Drosophila melanogaster: one gene and its partners. The gene in region 4 interacts genetically with the main gene of each other region. Each region holds a gene or a part of one and is shown on either strand. Other genes may lie near its edges.

Region 1 (7,663 bases), 7.3 Mb from region 4:
ACTTCTGTTAAGTGTGTATCTTTTAAGTTTTTGTTGCTTTAGCTTTACGAGTAGTTTTGTTAAGTGTTTTCCTTGGTTTAAGAGTTAATTTAATTCGAAAGCGACTTCAACTATGGGGTAAACATGCACACACTCATTGAAATTTTTGCAACTTACAATTAACCATTTGCTAAAATCGAATCCGAGTTCATATTATACAAATATTGAATATCTCTGCGTGTACGCAATATACATATACATATATCTGATGTAATTTAGTTATCGAGTGCTCGCTTCGGCCGGAAATCAGCGCAATGTCTTAGTTTATATACAGGAACTTAGAAGGTATCAAAGGACACGACACGACGAACATTATACGACAAAATTTATCCTAGACTGCGGAGTGTGTCTTCTTGTTTGCGGAGCTGTGAGGGGTCCGAAAATTGTTAAACAATTTCAATTTGTGTTTCAAGAACATTTATCTGGGTCTAAAATGTGTTCTGCTGCTCAGCCTAACTCAGCCGCCTTGTGGCCGCTCTTAATTGGATAGGTATGGTAAAATCTACTACTCGAACGCGTGTATTCATAATTTATGCGGGGTTATATTCACTGACGTTTAAGTATATTCATATTCATAATTTATAGTTCGGAAAATTCATAGTGCTCGCCTAGGCTAATGAGAGCGTTGAGAGAAATACGTACATACATATATTTTCGTACAGTTGCGAATTTCAAGTGCATCTGCTACTGCTGCTGCTTACTCTTCATCTTACTCGTATCTATATTCAACTACCGAACTAAGCTGCATTATCGTGTTGGGGCTTGGATCTCTGGGATCCGTAGAACTGACTTAATAATAAACTGCATTTGCATCAACGTCGGTTGGTCACACATCAGCGACGCCTGCGCACTTCTGGGCAGTTGCTCATCCACATCCTTGCTCCTCATTGTGGTCACATATTCCTATCCCGCATGCTAGAGATCTCTGGTTTTTGTACATTTAACCGACTGAACTCGGCCTGGCTGGAATCGCCCTTCCAATCGCTGGACTAGCATGGAAAGTCCATGGCCAGCTCGTTCTTGATTAGATGATGGTGATTCGGATCGGACATGGGGTTGGGATTCGAGCTGGGGTTACCCGAACTCGGATTGGCTAACTGCTAGTAGGTGGCAAAGCCCATGGCGCCAGCGCTGCTGTTGTCCAAGGGTCACTGGTGCATCTTGGCGGCATGGTGACCCATGTTCAGGCTAAGGTTCAGGTGGTGGCCGCTGTGGTGCTGCTGGGTCGCCTGCGCGTGGTTGTGGTTGCTGCTCGAATTGTTGTTGTTGTTCTGCTGATTGGCCTGGCGCTGTGAGTTCTTCTTGTTCTTCATGCGCCGATTCTGGAACCATATCTTGACCTGAAAGGAACGCCTGTTTAATGAATTCAGTTCAAGTCAGTAGGTTTATGGACTCACCTGTCGCTCGGTCAGCTGCAAATTTCTGGCCAATTCCCAGCGCTTTTGCTTGGAAACATACGCATTGAAAAGAAACTCCTTCTCCAGCTCCAGGGTCTGGAACTTCGAGTACGGCTTGCGCTTTTTCCGGACGGACACCTGACCGGTCCACTCGTGCAGTCCGGGATTGGGCGTGCAAGGACCCACTGCTCCCACGGATAATCCACCAGAGGCTCCTGAAAACATCATCAAGTAATGGGGTTAAACTACATGGTTAACTTCATTAAACCGCAAGTGCGGGTGGTCCGATGGTTTTGTTGCTCGGTGTTCGGTGCAATATCAGATCGTTAAGTTTATAGAGCAATTACGGAAATTGTTTAGCAATAAGCGTAATACGAAATTATTCAATTCCTCATTTATGGCCTCTTAATTGGTGCGGTACGGGGAGCGGAGCTCCGAATTGGCATGAGGCCCATATTCACACTCGAGTGGATAACACTAAATGAATACATTCGTTCCCGCTCATTGGCCGACCAAATGAAGCAATTAAATTAATGTTGAAATAAAGTGACAAGTTGGATTTATTTTAATTTAAACGCTAGTTCAGCACGAGTGAAGAGCTTTTCGAATCTAATCTGATTTCTTCGATTAGTCTTGGTAGCATTGAACAGTTAGGACAGTTAGGTCAGATTGGAAATTAATTATCGAGCCTAAGAGACCTGAATTCCAATTGTAAAATTGGCTGGCGAGGTCACTTAACTGACATATTCCGCCATAATAACGAGTCTTTACTATGGATACCATGGATACTACTGGGAAAATATGACTAGTCGACAGATACAATTCTGGCAGTTGAAAAACACCTGGTGATAAGACACGAACATAAACAGGCAACCCCATAGAATGCAAACCCCAATGACTTTCGCACCCACATAAAGGCGTAACGCTAGCCAAATAGCGAGTATCGATTTATGGGCCGTTTTGCACTACGCTAATTGAACGACAAACTTGACGGTTTCGCAATTTGCTATTTCAACCGATACGACGACGAAAAGTCTAGTGCACATAGGAAAATCAAATAATCTTGAACTTTATATTGTAGGATGCTTAATATTTTAGGGCTGTTTAAATAATTGGCTTGGCTTTTAGGAAAAAAAATAATAGCACCATATAAAAAACACTTCCAAATAATTATCGATTCATTGGAAAATTTGACGGTCTATAAATATATATTTTACAATTAAAAACATTTAGGTGGAATTTGAACGCCTCTTTTTAAACAGAATTTTGAATTCGTATAATTTTTCACTTTAATTTAATTTCATATGAATAACCAAATATTTTATTAAAAATTTTAAGAATTGTAAACAGTAAATTTTTAATTTTTAATCTTTAAAATTTCTCCTCCCAAACTAGAGTTGCAAGATGCTCAAAATTATTTCCAGTGTGCCTAACCTCGTTACCCTTAAGTGTGCCGACTCTGGCCGGTCTGGACTCACCTGAGCTGGAGTAGTTCTCGCTGGGATAGCCGCGCAGGCCGCCTGGCGAGGAGTAGGTGGGCGGCTCATAGCTGGACGTCGATGTGCCCTCGACGGACTGTCGGGCGGCGGCGCTCACGTGGCGCTCCGCTTCGTTCATGTAGGCCGCCGCCGCTGCGGCAGAGGTGGTCTGATCGGGGCGGTAGTTGGGGCCCCAGTACTGCTGCGGGGGAGAAATGAGGTCGGGTTGGAACGAAGTTGCTTACAACTGATGTGGAGGCGTGGGTGGCGCTGTGGCCATACTTACACCAACCGGAAACTGCGTTTCTGGGTAAGGATAGGCGAACATGTGCTTGCGGTCGTAGTACCCGGAGCCGTAATGCTGATTGAATCCCTCGTCGTTGTAGGCCCAGTGTGCCGTGTGCCGCTTGACCGCCGCCGAGGTGTCCGTCTCGAATCCCGGACCGGCCCGGATGGCGGGTATATGCAGTGGCGCTAATTGTATGGACATATTGATGTCTGAAAGTAAACGATAAGCGCAGATTTGCTGCTGTTAATATTGGCACTAGGGCTGGTAAGTCTAATTTTAACGACTGTCTATGATCAAATCGACCTCCTTGATCATTTGGCATTTTATCACTTGGCGTGGCATTTGTGCCTATAACCCTTAGATTGTTTGTCGATGTCATGGATGTGGGTGCATTCACACCTCGTCTATATATAAATCTGTATATTTAACACGTGTCAACACTTAAGGTAATAAAATGGTTACCATAACGATTACGTTTCAAATCATCGTTTAATTTTTTTTTTTGTGTAAACTCTTTAAAAAAAAACCAATGCAGTTTTGAAGAACTTCAGTACACTCACAAACAATATTTTTAAAAATTTTTAATTTCCTTACAAAATTAAAGTTGTTACCACCCTGCAATTATATAGTCTATAATGATAAAACAGACGCAAATATTTTGAGTAAATAAATTAAATGCGTGACGATTCCTGGGAGAGTTAAAGAAAAGCCTTATCAGCCTTGAAAAACGTGCTGCAATCAGCACAACTGAAACGTTATTGCAACTGGGGGGAAAAAAAAACAAGTGGAACGACCCCGTTCCCAATTTAACGTCCCCAATTTATTTCGAGAGTTTTCCAGTTCAGATGTAGAAAATTTCAAAAAATATATTTCCCAACGATCTTTGAAAGCCCATAACCAATGGAGTTCCAATAAGAAATCCGCTGGTTTTCAACCCCAAGGAAAGTTATATTTCTGGGACCTCACCTTCCTTCTGAGAACTAACACTGGAGGGAGAAACACTCGCCGTGGTCGGCGCAACGATCTGCGTCTGGCCAGGAGCAACTGCAGCATTCTGCTGTTGCTGCTGCTGCTGGAGATTCGAGGAGGCGCCGCTGGCGACACTGTTCGGGGTTTGTTGCTGCGGCAGTTGCTGGTGGTGGGGCGATGTGAGATGTTGCTGTTGTTGGGCGGAGGGTCCAGTGGGTGTTTGGGCAGGACTGAGGGCGCCGGCCACCGGTGTTGTCGCCAGCTGTTGTTGCTGCTGTTGCTGCTGCTGTTGAAGTTGCTGCTGCTGCTGCGGAGCGGGGAGGTGTTGCTGCTGTACGGCGACAAGTGGCACAGGCGGAGGATCCTCGTACATAACCGCATGCGTGGGCGTGGAATGTGTGGTGGGAGTTGACTGCTGTTGCTGCTGCTGGAGCACCGAGGAGGGTGAGGAGGCGACGACTGCATGTTGCTGCTGCTGTTGCTGCTGCTGCAGGTGGGGATGCGCGCTGTGGTGATGGCTGGTGGTGTGGAGAGGCTGAGGCAGGTGGTGGTGCGCATGGTGATGCAGTTGCTGCAGATGCTGCTGCTGCTCCTGCAGATGCTGCTGCTCCTGCTGCTGCTGCTGCTGTTGCTGCTGCTGCAGATGGTGCTGCTGCATGACGGGCAGGGAGGGATGCGCCTGGGGATGCGGATGCGGGTGCGGGGCGGTGGGTACGTGGGTGTGGGTGTGTGTGTGATGCCCCCACCACGCCCCGGCAGCGGCGTGCGACCCGACTGCCGAGACATCGTGGGGGTCGTAGAGAGCGCACGCCAGCGGGATGGTTGGGGTTTGGGGGAGGGGTGGAATATTTACGGTTATCTTGGACGCGTTGCACTCGAACTGCGGCGGCGAGGATAAAGGCGGTGCAGTGGGGTCGATCGCCTCGACCCACCGACCTTTCTCTGTCTTTTTTTTCTCACTCCTCTGAGTGACGCCTTTCTAATTGTTTAAGTCTCTTTATATTTTTTTCGCGACTTAATAATTTTTATTTTTAATATTCAGAGCACCTTTACTCGAGTTTTGCCCCTTTTATTTGCGTACCGCACACGCACACAAACGTCCGTCAGCGGTCACACGCACACGCCGACTTACTCACACACGCACACTGCCTAAAGAGCGGGCGAAGAGAGTAACTTTGTTGTTGCACAGGGGATCGAATCAGCTTGAATTTCACAGGGTGCTTGCGGTCGTCAGCAACTCACGCAGTATTTTCAAATTGGCTTTTTTCAGTTTTCATTCGGTCAATCCAATTTTCCAAAACTTTTCCAATTTTTCCTTTGTCAGTTAATGTTTTCTTTTCACTTTTCTTTTTTTTTCGGTTGGCGTTTGTTTTTGATTTTCTTCTCTCTTTTATAATTATCATAAATAGTTTATTATTTGTGGGGCCTGCAGTCGTTGTTGTTGCTGCTGCTGGCGTTCGCTTTTTATGTTGCTGGTCATAAAATTTGATTTTACGACCAAAACAAACAATTAAAGGCAATGTTTGCAACAGTTAACAAAAATGTTATTATTTCTCCTCACAACGCCGGCGACACGATGTTTTGATTGTGTTTTTTGTTTTTTGATTTAATTTTTTATACGACTCCAAAAACGTTTCTTCTTTCAGTTAAATTTTTCGAAAATGTTCAACTTGTATTTTTCGAACCGTTCGAACGAAACACTCCCAGTCGAATGTGAATGTGAATGGACGGCGAGTACGAAATCGTTCAAGTCCCAGTCCTCGACGAAGTTGCAGGGCCGCTTGCCTCGGCTGTTGTTGTAGTTGCTGTTGTTGCTGCTGGACGCCCGCGCGCCTTCCAACCGAACAGAGCGAAGCACAAATCTACACTGACGGCAGCAACGCGCACGGCGACAACATATCCACATCGCTGGCACGGCACACCGACAACACAAGACCAAGACCAGAACCAGAACCAGCACACGAACACAAACTCTAAGCGCAGCGGCGCCAGCCCGCTCCAGTGTGTGTGTGTGTGTGTGTGTGTGTGTGTGTGTGTGTGCCTCCCCGTCCGTGTGACTTGGAAGAGAGCGCGGACATGCGCATGTTGCACAAGCACTCAGATTGATGGTGGTGGTGGTTGATGTTATGTTGATGGCAGTTGGTGCGGCTCTCTTGTGGCGCGTTATGCACACGTACACTGTATACAGCGTCTGTGTGGATCCCAGACTGTCAGCGAGTGTGCGTGTGTAAGTGGGGGGAGCCGAAGAGAGTTTTGGATGTTGCTGGGGGAAATAGCACTGTTTCAACTAGCGCCTTCAATGAGGTAAAGATGGTATCGCACTTCGACTGGGACTGGCTCTGGAATTCGCTGAGCTCAGCAGGTGCTCCAAGTCACAGGGGGTCATCGAGGGCGAAACACACACGCACAGTGTACGTGTGAAGGCATCCGCTCTTCAACGAACAAAAAACGCTCTCAGACTCACCGCCCGCTCTTACTGCCCGATTCTGGGGGCTGATTTGAATACTTAACACGCGCGCACCACAGCGCCATCTATGTCCGAGATTTCGATGGAATGGGGGCGGGGAGGCGTGGTAGATGGCACCACATTGTGTGTAGTTAGTTGGCTTGTTGTTGGCGCTTTTTATCGATTACCACAACAGCAGCAACATACAGAAAAACTCACTGCATAAAGACCATGGATCGCGACCAATTATACGAGTCGTCAAGCGCAGTGACTAATTAATGCTAATTAGTTAAACAAATACATGCGTGCGCCAGTTCAGTCAGCAAATTATGACAGCCCAATTGTTAGGAAACCCCGGGTCTCTTTTCACCCCTATCTCAACATCCTTTCTCCCTTTTGGCTCTTCTACAGATTCCCCTCCTTGTCTCACTTCCAAAGGCAGTTGCCAAATTTTACGCTGCAATGGACAATTATGGGAATTTTATGGCAATTGCCATTGGAAGAAAAGCAAAAGGCACGCAGTCGAGGCCAAGGAAATGTTAACAAATCGTAAAAAGGATGCGATGAGAACAACTCTCAACCCGTTTGACAACAAAATGTATGTACAATCGCATAAAAATCCATACTTAGCAATTACAATAATACATTTGAGCAGGGGCTTAAGAAAATGTCAGAAGTCATCGCGACTGGAGACGAATAATATTATTTCTTATGTGAAATCAGAACATTCATTTTTAATTTTTCACATCACGCATTTAGTTGAAGAGTCCAACTGCTTACATAACAAAGTTGATCAAGTAAACCCCAAAAAAACTTCAAGAATTCTACTTATAATAATACAAAACTTGTAATTAACTGCCGCAATCTATTTCCAAAAATAACTTCTTCGATTGAAATTATTATTCAACTTTTTTATTTATAAATAGAAATAAAGTATGATTGACATTTTTCCTATTGAACCACTCTGCTAACACGCAGAATTATTTTAAAGGGATAAACTCTCTGCACAATAGCATTTTATAATTATTAGTAGCATTTTAACGCC
Region 2 (4,832 bases), on a different chromosome or scaffold from region 4:
ACTTGTATATGAATGAACATTCCATTCAAGCTAATTTATTTTGTTTTATTTTCGAACATAAGTTACCTTTTTTTTTAAAGCTTATGAGCTCAACGAATAGTTACTATTTTAACTTTATTTAGTGCTGGTCATGTCGCGTGGTTTTTAGCACCGCCGGAATGGTTTTGTTTTGCACATTTTCATGTAAAATGTTGGGCCAGGCCAGAAGGAAGAAAACCGAAACTGAAACCAGTTTTCAGTGAAACTTCATTTTTGTATGCCCTTTTAAAAGGGTATCATAGTATGGTCACATGTTTACAACAAAATAAATGGTATTTTCAAATAAAACGCTCTTTTTACACTACATTTTTCCATTTACTACTAGTTTTTAAATTAATTAACATTCAAACAAAATCCCCAAGTAGCAGTTAGAGTATCTGAAATCAGTGTTTTTCGGATTAAATTCCCTTTCTCGTTTTCAATGGCACGTATTGGTGCCTGCAAGTTGTTTTTGCTAGTTGGGGCATTGTCAAAAAAAAAAAGGAAGGAACATAAAAAAGAATAATAGGAATGCTGAAAGGATGCTCGAGGAGGCAACTTGCCGTGCAAATAAAATGGGAGGCAATGGAGCGACGAAGAGGCGGACAGAGAGGAGATGCCAACTTTTGCTTGCAACTTCCAATGCGGAGGCTAAAATGCAACCACAATTTTATGCCGAACAATAAGTCAGATTTTCAAGGGATTTCTTTATTACAAAGTTACAGTTGCCACAGTGGATACTCAAAGAGATGTTTTTGATTTGATTTATTCGAAATCTATCTTTGTTTACAAATTTCGAAGTCAAATTAAGAAAAATAATAAGAAAATTTATAGTTGCATTTTCCAAACTTGTTTTATTTTAAATTATTTGCATTTATTGTATATGTAAAAGTTTACGAGCTTAAGGCTGCTCCACTGTATTTGCATTTCATTTCGCAGAAGACTCGCAATCAAAACAAAACGGCGGCAAGAAAAGGTGTGAAAGAAAGAGGAAGACTAGGTGTTGCCACCCACTCGAAAATCGGCGGGCCTCTCAGCCGCGCTCTCTCCATGTCTCTCTCTTCGTTTCGGACAGAGAGACTTATCATTAAACGCGCATTATGCGGTCCGTTCGTCCGCGTTGTTACTGCTCTTCTTCTTACATTACTAGACCAATTCCACGTTTTTTTTTTTTTATATTGTTCGTCCCATTGTTGCCTTCTCGCTCACACACACACATGCAGCGATTTGCCGCCTTTTGGAGCCTCTTCTTCTGCATTTTCCCCGTCTTTCTCTTACTTTGTGCATGTTTATTTGGCAAATGGATAATGTGTGTTCGTGTTTTTTGTATGTTTGTGCTATTGCTTTTTCACTTTTTCTTGCCCTTTAATATTTCCTCACTGCACTTTATGTTTCTACACCCTACCCGACCTACGGACGGCCTATTGATTCTTATAAGATCTACATTGATGATTGTAACATCACTGCATAAGGCAATGTAAATCTTTATATAAAATGATAAGTACGTATAATTTAGAACTTAAATAAAATAAATTTATTCGTATTAATTATATATGAATGCTTTTAACAACCTTCATCTCCTACAAAAAGTAAGTGCTATACTTTTGGTTTATTTTATTAGCAATCTTGCACTTTGTACTAAATATTTATTGGATTTTGGATTGGATTTTGAGTTTTTTTTTAGCCGGCTAGAAATGTTTATTTTTGCTAGTTTTGCTTGACTTAATAAGAATAACAAGAGTTTCTGTTGCAGAATAATGAAATACCCACCCCACTGTGTCGACTGTGACCACTATCAAACCCTTTTGTACCCACTGTGGCATTCCAGGCAAACCAACTTCGTTTTCGTTACGTCTCCTCTTCACCCGTGCATGGTGTGCATGCGAGCGAGCGAGACGGCAATGTTGCGGGGAGAGAGAGAAGAAGGGGACAACGTAAAGTAGAAGAAGAAGAAGAAGAGGGGGGGAGGCAAAGGCGCAAGACAAATGACAGCGCGCTACGAAATGAGTGAGTGGGTGAAGGAGAGGCGAAAGAAAATGGATTTTAAACATTTTTGTTTTGATTATTATTGTTCTTGTTCGTCGCAAAACTTTGCAAAGTAAAAGGGGCAAAGGGAGCGCAAAAGCGGAGAACACAGTGAGAGAGAGAGTGAGAGGGAGCAAGAGTTGGTGAGCGGTGTAATGCAAATGTAATGCTGAACAATTACATTTGCCAATTGAAGCCAATTGAAAGGTTTGCAGTATTTTGTTGCTTCTTTCTTTTGCCCATTTATTTGCACCCATTTTACTGCACTCTGCAAACAACAAATATGTTCGGCTCTTATTTTTAGTTTAGTTTGTGGGGCCTCTGTCCTTACCTTTTCGCTATTTATATTTGATTTTCGCTGCTGCTGCAATTTGCCGCCTGCCTTTTTGCATAATAATAGAGGAAATACGTCAAAGAGTTCCCGTTACGTTGCGTATTTGTTGTTGCTTCTAGTTTATTTTTTTGTATCGTACTGTATGCGTATTTACCGCCAGTTTTGTGTTGTTGTTTTTGCTGCCGCTTGTCGTGTGTTTTTGTTGCTTCTGCTGTTTTTCGTTTGTTGGCCTTTTTGCTTTTCTTTTTTTTAAATCAATTATTGTATGGTTTTTTATTTTTATTTCTCGCTACGCCTTCTGCTTCTACGCTCGCTCACTAACACACGCGCGCACGCACCACACGTACACACACACACACGCATTGCGATTGGTTTTTCATAATTCGCAAAGCAAGAAACTTAAATTTGATTCTATTTGATTTTACTGGGCTGGCACGCTATCGCTACATATTTCTTGCCATTTGGCTAACCATTTGCATTGGCGCCGCACTTTGACCGCTTCATAATGGGCCGATTAAATTTCTCAACCGCGCTTTTCCGCACTCTTTTTCGCGCACGCACCGAATTTCGCTGGCAAAACGGAATTTAAAATAATAATTATTTTTTCAGCTCGTCGTTCATCGGAGTGCTCGTGTTCGCCATTTTCGTGTGGCGCTGCCAGATCGCCGCAAGGTGCTAAAATGTAGCAAAAGGTGCTCAAAGGCTGAAAACTACTTGGGTAGTGTTTCCAAATAGTAGATAACTTGCTTTAAAATTGAGTGAGAACTCATTTGGATTTTCTATTGTGTAAAAAACTGTATTATTTATGCAACTACTTATTAGTTTCTAACTAGGTGGCATCGCCTTATCGGGTCTTCTTTGCTTCGCCGCTCGATTCAGCTGGTCGTCCCGCTTGCACCTATTGCATTTCCTATATTGATTTTTTTGCTACGGACTTTGATATGGGCGCGCAGAAACTGAAAATTCAAAAAATTAAATATTACAAAATGTACGTTAATAAAATGATGTATCTTCATACATTTAATCAGTTCTTTTATAATGTGAAATCCATAAGTGCTTCCAGGATTAAATGAGTTTTTTTGCTTGTAGAATTATTTTATTTATAAATATAATGCTTTAAAATTGAAAGTTGGAGGTTTTCCGTAATACCAATAAAAACATAATATATAAAATGCTTTAGAAGTATTGAAATATACATTTATTTCAAGCATTTATTATTATTTATTGAGTTTGTAAAAGGATTTCTTACATGTAATATACATTTCAGAGCTGCCACCTAGTTGCGCAGCGAGCCCAGCGAAAGCTGGTTGCTATGAAAATATCGACTGTCATTATATATTATCGATATGTTGGCGCCCACTCAGTTCAAATTCGAATGCAATAGTCCCATAAAACTCGATCATTACACTGAATTTTAGAAACTCGTTTAATGCTCGTGTGCGTGCAAGTCATGATTGCTAAAATGCCAGAAACTCTATGTATTTATAATGAGCAAATAAATATTCGCCACCAACAGTGCTCGTATTTGCATAATGAAGGCGAAACCATTCAAATGAGTTGCACTTTTTCCGCTGTCTCAATTTGTATAAATATGTGCGAGTGGGTGGGAGTCGCCTAGCCCCCATAAAAAACCATAAAAAAAACGAAGCTAGCATACAAAACGACTGATTTGCAGCGTAAACCATATGAGTTTGTATGTACACATTTAGGTACATATCTATATATACATATAGAGATTTGCATTTGGATGCGTGGAGCCGCGGGTAAAAGCTAATAGCTAATGGAGAACTTACGTGCCAATTGACATTCATGAGTCCCAAGGCCGAATACATTAAAATAATTGCATGTTCTAGCTCCACGGCAATGGAATGGTGAATAGTGAAACACAACATCAGCAGCAAAAAAAAAAAATTAAACATACATAATTGTAGCATGATCGGATCGGGAAATAATTGCTCCGGTTTTCCCACTTTCCAGTGCGGAAAAATCAAACGAATGTGGGCCGTGGAAGGGGGGGCCTGGAAGTGGGAACCCATTGAGGTCGTTCCAGCAATTGACGTGTGCACCTATTTACCCGACGAAAAACACGCAGCTATGCTATGCCCATGTACATATGTATATAGTGTATATGCCTTATAATTATAGGCGCACATAGGCCACCGAAATACCCATCCCCCCTTTCCCCCCGCCACAAAACCCACAAACGCACCCTACTCCATTCGAAAAACCCCATTCGGCAGACCCATAAACATGCTATATGCATTTAAGCACACACATATCGCATTTGCTTAGTTACTTGCACTGCGGATTGAGTGGCGGGTGGAACTTTTCGTGTCACGAGGCTGAATCATTTGAGTTAATCGGTCAAATCTAAATATATATACTTATGCCAAAATATTATAGAATACCTTCCATATACAATTTCAAATATTTAGAATTCATTTTGCCCAAACTC
Region 3 (4,822 bases), 3.2 Mb from region 4:
GTGTGTGTGTGTTTGTTGTATTTATGGCATTGTTTCGCTTTCGAGTTTCCGCCATGAAAGTGCAGACCTCCAAAATGCAACTATTTCTGTCTCACATAGATACACAGCCAATTCGCATTAGTGTGAGTGTACGCCGTGACACAGGCAACCGAAATTGTTCATAGGATATTTTTATAATCGAACAATGTGAAAAGTAAGTTTTCTGGTTTCAAAATAATATTAATTCGTTTTCTGAACACATGCTGGCTTTTAGTTTTTAGTTTCTACCGATCGAAATTGATTTGTAATAGCAAAAAATTAGTTTTCTTTTGATGACTATAGAAACAGCGCCAAAAAGCAACATCGTAATCTATGAAAGAAGAAGAATCAACCAGGAAGAGAAGCGGAAGATAAGAGGGAAGCAGCAAGACAAGAAAAGCACCCAAACAGAAAAAACGTTACCAATACACAGAAGCATGAGCTGGCAACGGTATCTCTTCTTTACATACCCACATATGTACATATTCAGGCATCAAAAGCTGCCATGAGGAAGAAGAAGAGGAGCAAGAAGCGGGCTAGAAAACGAGGAAGAAACAGTAGGCGAAGTGGAGAGCGAAGTGCAATGGCAACAACAAAGTAAAACAACAACAAACTCAGGAGATAAAGTGGGAAGCAAAGATGCCTGTTTTTCTTACTTGCGACTATGTGTGCGTGTGTATTCAATGCAGCAGCGGCAACCAAAACAACAATCGAAGTACAGTGAACCGAGAGACTCGAAAAAGATGTAAAAACACAAGTATGCAAGAGTTAAACAATTCTTAAAGTTAACTGGGGTGCTGAGGGAGAAATGTAACTTCTTAACAGAGTAACAGTGATTTGTAATACACACTATTTGGAATAAATACGCGTGTACTATTAATATTGTTTTTAATTGCTATTATTTCGTAACATTTTTAGACAACGTTGAAATTTTCAAGTCAAATCAGAGACGAAATCGTTTCGAAAATAGATAAGCTTATTGGGAATTTGACTAGTGCATATTTCGTTTATTATCCCATTTGGTCGCTTTTTGAGTTAGCAAAAAAAAGTTACATAGGTGAATGACAAAAGTCAGTCGATGCTGTTGCAACAACTTTTAATTGACAGAAAACTTGCGGTCAGGATAAATGGTCGAAGTAGCCAAATGGCACGCATGTTTCCCAAACCCCTCTAGGCATAAATCTACATGCATATGTATGCACATACATGCATACAAATACAAATGTTTAGCCGGTTCAACTAGTTGTTAATAATTGGTTTTTGGTTTTCGATCCTTTTGCCTGTAATCAACAAGAAAAAACCCCTCTAACTTAGCTTTTGGCACTTTTCCTATTTTCGGGTCTTGCATGTTCCTTTAATTGGATTGTGTTTGCTACCACTGACAGCATTTAAAACTTTTTATGGACGTAACCAAAATCACAGAAATCACTGGTAAATTAGTGAGCCCTGTTGGAACTCGCATGACTATTTAAATGGCAATGTTTATTCATTAGCAACCCATTTCTCATCATAATTCAGTCAGTACATGAGCATTTTAGTTGAAAACCTTGTTACTAATCATATTAGTAGACAAAATGAGAAATCATTTTTAACCAGTTTAATCATTTAAAAACAACAATGTTTACAACATTCTGACAAACTAAGATCTTATATTTATTAATTTGACACAAAGTTACGTTGTGACCGTGTCAAAAAAATTTTTACGTTGTTTAAAATCTGCAAAATCTGTTCTAAACACTGCGTTTAATACTTGTGAGCTTGAAGCAAATAAACATAGTTGTCAAACGACTGCTTATAAAATATCCACTTTAAATTTATAGCCCTTATATGACACTTGTCTAAGGGCGAGCGCCCACTGTCTTCCCACACGTTATAATTAACTGGCCCAGATTGCGGAGTATCCGGCACATGGGAAACCGATAAATAAATACGTTTGACTTTTCACAACGTCTGAGTATAATATTACACTTCCGCTCTTATCGGAGAGGCAAACAGTAGGACCAGTGAACACACCGCCGTTAATATTACACATTTTCAGAAGAGTTCTTCGCTGATTTAAGTTCTTATTTCGCGTTCGGTTTAAAATATATTACTCACATTTCGCGCACTCAGCGCTCTGCTTCTTCTCCCTCTCTCTTTGCGCTTTGTCAATTGATTAGCCGTTAGCCGACGCCTCTCTCTCACTGCTCTCTTTAAAGGTTCTTGGTTTCTGTTTTACTCCATTCGATCTTGTTGTTGTTGTTGTGGGTTTTGGTTGTTTGGTGTTGGTTGCATTCCAGTTTAGAAGATGGGGAAGACGAAGACGTTTGAAACCGCAGTACTCTGATTAAGCAATATGATTAACCTTTGTTGTATTTCGCATTTACTATGTAATATAAATTTCGTTGTCAAGCGCTGCAAGAAACACGGAGATATACAAGATTACGTTTGACACTTTAGATTAGCTTTTATTCTTTTTCATACACAATTGTATGCACACTAACACACGCGTGTAAAAAACTCGCGACGGCTGCTGCTGCTCTTCTTCTTGCTCCTCCACCTCTTCTTATTTTTCAAGCAGCAGCCTCTTTTTCATCGTCGCTTTCGCTCTGCTCTTCGCTTCGTATATTTCATACAATTTTCTTTGTTGCAATTTAGGCATTTGTTTTAGCACACATGCACACTAAACACAGGCACGAACACACAGAGGTATTCACAGCAAATTACATTTTGCAGCTCTTTCACGCCATACTGATTTGCCGCCTCGCTCTGGCTCACACACTCACACTCTGGCTACTCACGTAATTTAGCTAACTTTTCGTATTCTTCCTTTGCAGCCAAATCTCACAATTGGATCACTTCGATTCGCTGCGAGAACAAGCACGAGTATTGTATTGTATAATTAAGAATTTTTCTCCGATTTGCTACGACCCCAAAATGTTTCAGTACACACATACACCACACACACACGCGCGCGACGAGGAAGACGACGCAACGACACGTCCGTTATGTTCCAGCGAAAGAAAGAAACAAAAACACAAAAGGGAAACGGAGAATCCCTAACGGGTGGCGGAAAAATGCCTAACGCTAAAATGGAATCGAATATTCGATTGTTCACCACGATTTAATGGTGTGATTTTTCTCAAAATTGCGTTACTTGAGAAATAATTCAAAGCGATTAAAAAATAAAAGCATAAAATTGTGGAAGACATTGGTAAGTCCATGCAAAATTGATCGCTGAATGCATTTCTCTTTTCTGGACTTCTTACTATCTTTAACGGGATACATGCAATCTATTTGCAGATTTTTTAAATTTTTACATGATACATATGAATATTTTTGAGCTATTTAATTCAGAAATTAGCGACGTAAGGGCGTAAAATAAACACACATACGAAAGCAATTTACGCATTGACCATTCCGTTACTTAGTTTTAACATATGCCTGATATCAGGATATTCCATTGATTCGAATTGGCTTTGGTCCACTGTCCGCTAAACAATATTCAGTGTGCCCATTCCGCGATTGTATCCATTAGTGTGAACAACTCGTGATCGAAAGTGGACCCATAAGCATAAATTAGCGTTAATCATAGACTCAAATTGAAATATATATATTTAACACTTTCTTGCTTTAAAGACCGTGCTTTATTTATTCCAACTTACAAGTTATTTTTCCTTTTATTTTTAAGTTCTAAATTTCAAATTATTTCCGTGGTATCAATGGAAATAAAAATTTGTTTAGGTTGTAAACAAAATGCATCGAAAATATCAAACCAAGATAAAAAAGAACTGATAAAGCTGATGTGTACTATGGATGATAGCTTGATTGCTATGAATAAAATATTTATATTATCAATATCAATATTATAATATCAATATGAAAATATGAAAACGGTCTGGCAGCACGGTTCCAAGCCAGCGGGACCGTTTGGCGGTGTGACCAGCTGCTGACACTTTCGGACTCTGGTTTTCTTCGTCAAGAAGGCGTCGACCACACTTACTTTGTGTTGATTTTTAGCGGCGGTTGGTCGTGTGTCGGATAAAGCGGAACGAAGACGAAGGCGAAGAGCAGACGGAGGCGTCAAGTCAAACAAAAGTAAAGTGCAGCAACTGGCAGCGCAGACAAGTCGAAAGGGCAGCCAATTAAATGTAAGAAGCGACGTCCGCTGCTTTACAACAAGTATCGCTGATTGTCCAGCCGAGTAACAGTATTTTTCACGAGGTGCGCAGAGCGAAAGGAAAATCAAAGAGGAAAATCTAATACACAAAAAGTGAAGAGCCAAATTGTTGTTAACAGAGTGTGTGCGTGTGTGTGCTGAGTGCGGCAGTTGTTGTTTTATAGGTGAGAGAGAAAATCGGAAAAAAGGGCGTCGCAGTTTGAAAATTGATGTGTGCATAAAAATCAAGCGCTGCAGCAGCCAAAAAGCGAGAAGAGAGCGCGAGGCAGAGAGCGTGCAAAGCGGTCAGCGAGAGAGCGGGTGGCTGCTGCACCTTCATAACTGTTGTTGCAAAGGTGAGTGCGTGCCGAATATTGTTTTTGGTTCAGAATTGTTTATTTAAGTGTACTCTCAACCAGGCCAACACACTCACAACCACACGCCCGCACGTACCTGCGACCCACGAACGTGTGTGTGCGTGTGTGTTGGCCTGCCTGCTTATTTTTTATGCGGAAAAAACATTGATCCAAACTTTTTCGGGCCTCAAGAACCTCATTTTTGGCTCGCCCCACAAGGCATTAATATCTGTTGTGAACCGAAATGGGTTTAAATAAAAGCTGGTCAGCAGATAAAAGTGAATCCAATATATATGTACGTACATATGTA
Region 4 (6,668 bases):
TGCAGAATGTGCATGCGTCGGCTTGTAATTAAGCACGTAGGCAAACGCCTCCATTTCCTGCCCAGCAGGATGCTTTATGGCTGATTGAATTCCGTCAAAATGCCACTCCCGCCAATTTATACGTGCTTTTATGCGAGCTGTAATGCTGTTTTGGTAGTGCGAGGCAATTTTAATTTACTTTTAATTTTTAATAGAGCAACTAGTAAAGTCTAGCTACTTGCCTGATTACTTTTGCTTAGGGATTCAAGAAGGAAAGGATATCCATAAGGGTGTAAGATGCAACCTTGTACTTGGTTCTGTACACCCATTAATGAATATGCTTATTAAGTTCAATCCCCACTCCAGTGCCCACTCGGAGCCAGAAATTTCTTTTGTCCAATTTGCGTAACAAGTCAATGACTCAAGAACTCGTCTCTGGACACCCCTTTTTCTAATAGCCCATCAAGGATTTGACAGGCGACTAAACGGTAAACGGGCATTTAATGAGGAGCAGAAAAGGCAGCCGCCTCATTTCATCCAATTATCCTTGTTATGGGCAGCCGATGGTCCCATCCAATTATGCGCGATTTGACGATTGTGTGAGTGTCAGGGAACTTGGTTTCGGTCAAGTTTAATCATTAATAATTAGGAATGTCTTTATTGATTATTAAAGAGGGACATCACGCCGCCTTCAAAACATTCAATTAACAGTGTTATCAAGTTTTTCGACCGCAATATTTGGCTTCCAGTTGGTTATCTTTGAAACGCGACTAAGTGAGCGGATTATTCTTTGAAGCACATCAATTAAATCAAGTTACGGACCATTTAGGCAAAGCGAACAAAAATCAAACAGCAGCAGAAGTTAGCCAAAAAGTTTGACCAATATACATTTCGGCTAATCCCAGAAAAGTTTTTCCAACTTGTTTCATCTTTGAGCCGCTTTCGACTTACTGAATTTACTGCAAACGAAACACACTTATGTAATTTCTAGTAATTTGCTAGACTTCTTGACATTTGCGACGCTCTTCAGCAAATAAAATTAACGAAAGGTAAGCAAGTAATATTAATTTGCTTGACCTAATAAAGCCTTAGGCCAATCGTATAAGCCATTATTTTGATAGTAACATATTTTTGTATTTCAGTATTGATTGTTTCATGGTTTTGGTAATTACGAAAACCGCTTTCCTATGTTATACATGATTTTATTAAAATATCAAAACTTTCCCTTGTTCAACCCATTTTCCACTATCTGAACCGCTTTATTGCGAATTTCTCCCAGTTCAATGGAAATGTTTACATACCAGAGCGTTCTATAAATTGGTAGATATTAGTTTTGTTGACTAACCCATTTTTTTTTTTTTGATTTTCGGCTGATGTGTGCCGTGCGCTTTCAAATTTACAGACTTTTTATATTATTCACCAATTTACGCCCACTTGATGCTGTGCAAATTTGATTCACGAGCGTTTTGTTAGTTTTACTGGGAAATACTATGAGCTGATATTAAAACGTAGGAATTCGGTTATAAGTTTATATTCTCAAAACCAAAACGGTTCAGTTTACTAGACTAAATAGTTTTTACATTACGCTGTACAATTTTTGACAGGAAATCCAAATTTCTTTTCTATAATAAGGGCTTACGTTTTTAAAAATGACAAATATTTATTTATATTAGCAGTTAAATTAAATACAACATTGTGGTAAAAGTATTGAGCATTATCTACTTTGCTCTTTAAATTGACTATTTATTGTCAGTTATGTGATTTCCCATTTAACGTTATTTTAAAATTGCATTTAGTTGCTTCGATAACATTTTTCGATTAGTCACATTAGTTGATTATTTTCATCGCTTCGTGAGCTGTCACAGGTAAGCAACTATCGATATGCGCAAAGATCTGAATGTCACCACTAGAAAAACAAATATGGCGGAACCGAGCGTAAAAGTAAAAAAAGTCTAACATTTTGGAGTTTAAGCGACTCAAAATCATCTAATTTCGGATTGAAACCGAGTAACAAGATCCGCGCAGCGCTCTAAATATAAAGCTCGATATTTGGTGAACCAGAAACTAATTGTGCGGCTCGCGTTTGTTTTCGTTGGGTGATGCGATGCGATTTGGCCACCAATTTGTTATTACGTGACCTCAAGAACGCCGCAAAATTTCGCCAGGCCAAATCGAAAGAAATCGGAAAGTTAGTGCTGCAAAACAAAACTTGCTATTGGTGGCTAATGATTCAAGGCAGCCGCAATGCGATTTGACCGCCGGATCGGAACACACGAAATCGAAATCGCCTGAGATGCCAAGGGGCTTGCCGGCGCGAATCAGCAAGTGCGACTACTAGGACAGCCACGCGAGAAACCATGTCGGGCGGACGTGATAGCAGTACCAGTAGCGGGAGCAATTCTGCTGCGCCAGGGGCCAGTACGAATGCCACCTCCTCCGCATCCGCATCCGCCTCCTCCACATCCACATCCGCATCCCCTGGAAGTACAACATCGCCCGCGTCCACGCAACGGCAACGAGGTAGACCGGCCAAACGAGCCACATGCACCTGGTGCGGCGAGGGCAAGCTACCGCTGCAGTACGTCCTGCCCACGCAGACCGGCAAGAAGGAGTTCTGCTCGGAAACATGCATTGCCGAGTTCCGCAAGGCGTACAGCAAGGGGGCGTGCACCCAGTGCGACAACGTCATCCGCGATGGGGCGCCCAACAAGGAGTTCTGCTCGATCATGTGCATGAACAAGCACCAGAAGAAGAACTGCTCGACCAGGCACAGCGGCGGATCGGCATCGGGCAAGGGTCTGGCGGAAAGCGAGCGCAAGTTGCTGGCCAGTGGAGCGCCCGCACCAACGGGGCCCTTTCAATACGAGAGCTTCCACGTCTTCGACTGGGATGCCTATCTAGAGGTAAGTCAAGCTGGGATAATGCTTTAACCCCCAATCTCATACTTTTTGTGGTTTCCAGGAAACGGGTAGCGAAGCTGCTCCTGCAAAATGTTTCAAACAGGCTCAGAATCCTCCCAACAATGATTTTAAAATCGGAATGAAGCTGGAGGCTTTGGATCCGCGCAACGTCACTTCCACCTGCATTGCCACCGTGGTCGGAGTGCTTGGCTCCAGACTGCGGCTACGCCTGGATGGAAGTGACTCCCAGAATGACTTTTGGCGGCTGGTCGATTCTACGGAGATCCATGCTATTGGACACTGTGAAAAGAACGGTGGCATGCTGCAGCCGCCTCTGGGATTCCGCATGAACGCATCCAGCTGGCCCGGCTATCTGTGCAAGATCCTCAACAATGCCATGGTGGCGCCAGAAGAGATCTTCCAGCCAGAGCCGCCAGAGCCAGAAGAAAACCTGTTCAAGGTGGGCCAGAAACTCGAGGCTGTCGACAAGAAGAACCCGCAGCTCATCTGCTGTGCAACAGTAGATGCAATCAAGGATGATCAGATCCATGTAACATTCGATGGTTGGCGAGGGGCATTCGACTACTGGTGCAATTACCGATCGCGTGACATTTTTCCCGCCGGCTGGTGCGCTAGAAGTTGTCATCCCATGCAGCCACCGGGCCATAAATCGCGCATGGACTCCAGCTCTAGCAAACAGCGATGCCCTCGACCCCGCTACACTGTTGTAGCTGAGTCCGAGGCTATGGTTCCCGCTTCCCCTGCCACAGCCCACTTCCATCCGAACTGCAAGGGCGGTCCGTTCATCAACAATTCCAAACTGCCCTGCATGGTGACGGGACCCACCTACCAAACGCTGGCCAAGCTTTGCCTGCAGGAGGTTTTAGCTGCCAGCACGGATACGCAACAGCTCTCAAAGTTGCTGTTTGCCCTGGAAGGAGATGTTCATATCGTGACGGCAGCGGGGAAAAATTTCACAGTGAGTTCAAGATCAATTAAATTCAATGAAAAGCATGTTTAAAATATACTCTTCGTTTCTTAAAGGTAAAAATACCATCGCCAATGCGAATGAAGGATGACGAAAGCCTCGCCCAATTCATCGAAACGCTGTGCACTACATGCCGGGCATGTGCGAATCTCATTTCCTTGGTCCACGAGACGGAGGAGTGCAAGAAGTGCGCCAATAGTCGGAAGCGTCAACTGACTCAGTCAGCCACACCGCCTTCCTCGCCAGTGCTCGCCGACAAGCGAAACCGTCAATCCAACTCGGCAACGACATCACCCTCTGAGAAGATTATCAAGCAGGAATTGGCTGTCAAATCGCCAGTGGAGTCCAAGTCGAAAACTTCGACGAACAATGGCAAGGAGCCTGCAAGCCAGCAAAACAGCAATCACAGTCTCAACAATAACAACAACAGTGCCAGCAAGTCCAGCAACAAGGTGGTCATCAAATCGGAGCCCAACGGAGCGAACGCGCAGACTTCCTCCACAACGCAGGCTCTGCGCAAAGTACGCTTCCAACACCACGCAAACACGAATACGAATAGCTCTGCGACAAACGGAAACCAGGATACGAGCCAGACCACGCACGTATCTACCAGCCATTGCAGCAGCTCGTCAACGTCGTCCAGCACGAGCCTAGCCGGAGGATCGGCGAACACCAGCACAATTGGCAAATACCTGGCACCTCTTGTGGCAGAAGTTCATCCAGAGCAGGCCAATGTAAAGCCCTCGAATAGCTACTACAAGAGTCCGACGACGCTCTCGTCAAGCGCCTCGTTGCCGACATCCGTGTCCACGCCGTTCACGGGCTGCCAGTCAGCCTCGTCCACTGCACTGGCTGCAGGTGGAGTTACAGCGGCTAAGGCGGCCACCGCGCCGGCTGGAGCAGCGGCAACTGCGGGAGCTTCTCCGAGCTACACCGCGATTACCTCACCCGTGAGCACGCCCACTTCTGCTTTGGCAAACTCACATCTGCGGTCGCAGCCGATCGACTGGACCATCGAAGAGGTGATCCAGTACATCGAGAGCAACGACAACTCCCTTGCAGTTCATGGTGATCTCTTCCGAAAGCACGTAAGTAGTAGCTATTACCAATTACCTTAAATAAAGTAACTTATCTAATTTTCGTCTGTAGGAAATCGATGGTAAAGCTTTATTATTGCTAAATTCAGAGATGATGATGAAGTACATGGGCCTGAAGCTAGGACCAGCCTTAAAAATCTGCAATTTAGTCAATAAGGTCAATGGTCGTCGAAATAATCTGGCACTCTAAACAGAAAAACATTAAGTTTCAGGCAGCGGACTCGGTTCGGGTTTGACTTATATAGAAATTGTTAACAAATTAGTACCTCCCTTTAACGTAAAGCAAAGCAAACATGAACGATATTCATAGATGTGTTATGTGTTGGCCATTCATGAAGAAAAAACCCCTACCCTATTTTATTATATTGATAATATAAAACACGCTATAACAAATGTAATCGCGAAGACATGAAATTCCCTATACAAAATCAATCGCATAACAAATTATACACAGTCAAGCTCCGGTTTTCAAAACCATTATTATTAATTTTTTTCCAACTGCTCGTGATTCTTTTTTTGGAATACACATTTACAAATTGATTTATTTAGACAAAATTATTATACTTGAATTAGGAATTTTTATAGGTTTATTCAAATTTACCCAGTCAAAGGAGTGGAGTATTCGTACACACACAATAATTAGTTTATCCATCTATTTCGAAAAATGTGAAATAGTTCTCAATTGGACACAAAATGATTCGACTTTTTCGAAAACTGGAGCTCGGCTACCAAAATCGCAATGCACATACATTATATTTATTACACATAAAAACACGCACATTAGACACCAAAATCTATCCGACACAAAAGAAATGATAATTAACTTTAGAATAGGCGAGAAAATAAAAACCAATATTAAATGATTGTACATATTTTACATCTAATTTTGTAATTATGTATCAATTGCGTTTCCTAACTATAACAATATTTAATTAGTCATTAAACAGGTTGAAGATTTAATTTCTATTAAGTTATTGAAATTGAATATCAGTTTTTAGTTAATTATTCACATGCAGTTAAGGTCATTTTTGCATATAAGAAACGCTTCCTTTCAAAGTTTTGCAATATATGCGATATATAAATGAGAGTAACATTCGGTCGTGTAAAATATTGCAATAAGTCTCATTATGTTAACCCAGCATCCACTTACAAATACAAAAATTAAATAGAGCCAACTGTATATATCATTACGTAATAAACATTACAATTTGTTCTATTTTCAACAGTAAAATAACTGAAAGATGGTAGTCGGATTGGAAGGAAAATACTCAGGCTACAAAAATTCGACTAAAAATGAATCATTGCAAGAGTCAGCATTTGTTGAAAATATCCAAGAATTTAAGAAGCGATGATAAACAAGTCATATTATTATCATATTTATTTTTAACAAACAGATACACACGAATCTTTCCGCAACCTGGTCATTCGTAAAAGTGCTTCTGCACCCATCGAGGCAAGGCAAAGGCGGCGGAGTGAACCTCGGAGGAGTAGTACCTTAGGTCTATAGAATCGATTTCGGACTTTCCAAGCTTGGGAGTAGCGAAGTCCTGGTTTTTGTTCAGGGAGCCCATGACGAAGCCAATGTGGCCGCAGGGATAGGACGGAACGGAGGTGACGGCATAGGCCACCTTAGCAAAGTGCTCCTTGCAGCCGGACATGGTCTTCTTGATGTAGTCCAGGTCCAGCCAGAAGCTACCGCCCTGG

Evidence for each region.
Region 1: of Scm (region 4) and Abd-B, changing one enhances a phenotype caused by changing the other (phenotypic enhancement), as found in Drosophila melanogaster (one study listed by BioGRID).
Region 2: of Scm (region 4) and psq, changing one enhances a phenotype caused by changing the other (phenotypic enhancement), as found in Drosophila melanogaster (one study listed by BioGRID).
Region 3: of Scm (region 4) and gpp, changing one enhances a phenotype caused by changing the other (phenotypic enhancement), as found in Drosophila melanogaster (one study listed by BioGRID).

The regions. Positions count from the first base shown.
Region 1 is NT_033777.3:16,928,202-16,935,864, forward strand, and holds the start of Abd-B (abdominal B), read right to left. Parts: upstream 6,042-7,663; 5' UTR 4,831-6,041; coding exon 4,170-4,830; intron 3,413-4,169; coding exon 3,201-3,412; intron 3,117-3,200; coding exon 2,915-3,116; intron 1,652-2,914; coding exon 1,437-1,651; intron 1,380-1,436; coding exon 1,188-1,379; coding exon of another isoform or gene 1,029-1,187; 3' UTR 1-1,028. UniProt on the Drosophila melanogaster protein: Sequence-specific transcription factor which is part of a developmental regulatory system that provides cells with specific positional identities on the anterior-posterior axis.
Region 2 is NT_033778.4:10,556,076-10,560,907, reverse strand, and holds the start of psq (pipsqueak), read right to left. Parts: upstream 3,021-4,832; 5' UTR 2,532-3,020; exon of another isoform or gene 2,375-2,531; intron 1-2,374.
Region 3 is NT_033777.3:6,405,068-6,409,889, reverse strand, and holds the start of gpp (grappa), read right to left. Parts: upstream 3,034-4,822; 5' UTR 2,799-3,033; exon of another isoform or gene 2,413-2,798; 5' UTR 2,116-2,412; intron 913-2,115; exon of another isoform or gene 312-912; intron 1-311. UniProt on the Drosophila melanogaster protein: Histone methyltransferase. Methylates 'Lys-79' of histone H3. Required for Polycomb Group (PcG) and trithorax Group (trxG) maintenance of expression. Also involved in telomeric silencing but do not in centric heterochromatin.
Region 4 is NT_033777.3:9,632,824-9,639,491, reverse strand, and holds Scm (Sex comb on midleg), read left to right. Parts: upstream 1-1,880; 5' UTR 1,881-2,336; coding exon 2,337-2,882; intron 2,883-2,940; coding exon 2,941-3,858; intron 3,859-3,923; coding exon 3,924-4,955; intron 4,956-5,016; coding exon 5,017-5,154; 3' UTR 5,155-6,133; downstream 6,134-6,668. Other genes in the region: SpdS (spermidine synthase), read right to left, coding at 6,386-6,668. UniProt on the Drosophila melanogaster protein: Polycomb group (PcG) protein. PcG proteins act by forming multiprotein complexes, which are required to maintain the transcriptionally repressive state of homeotic genes throughout development.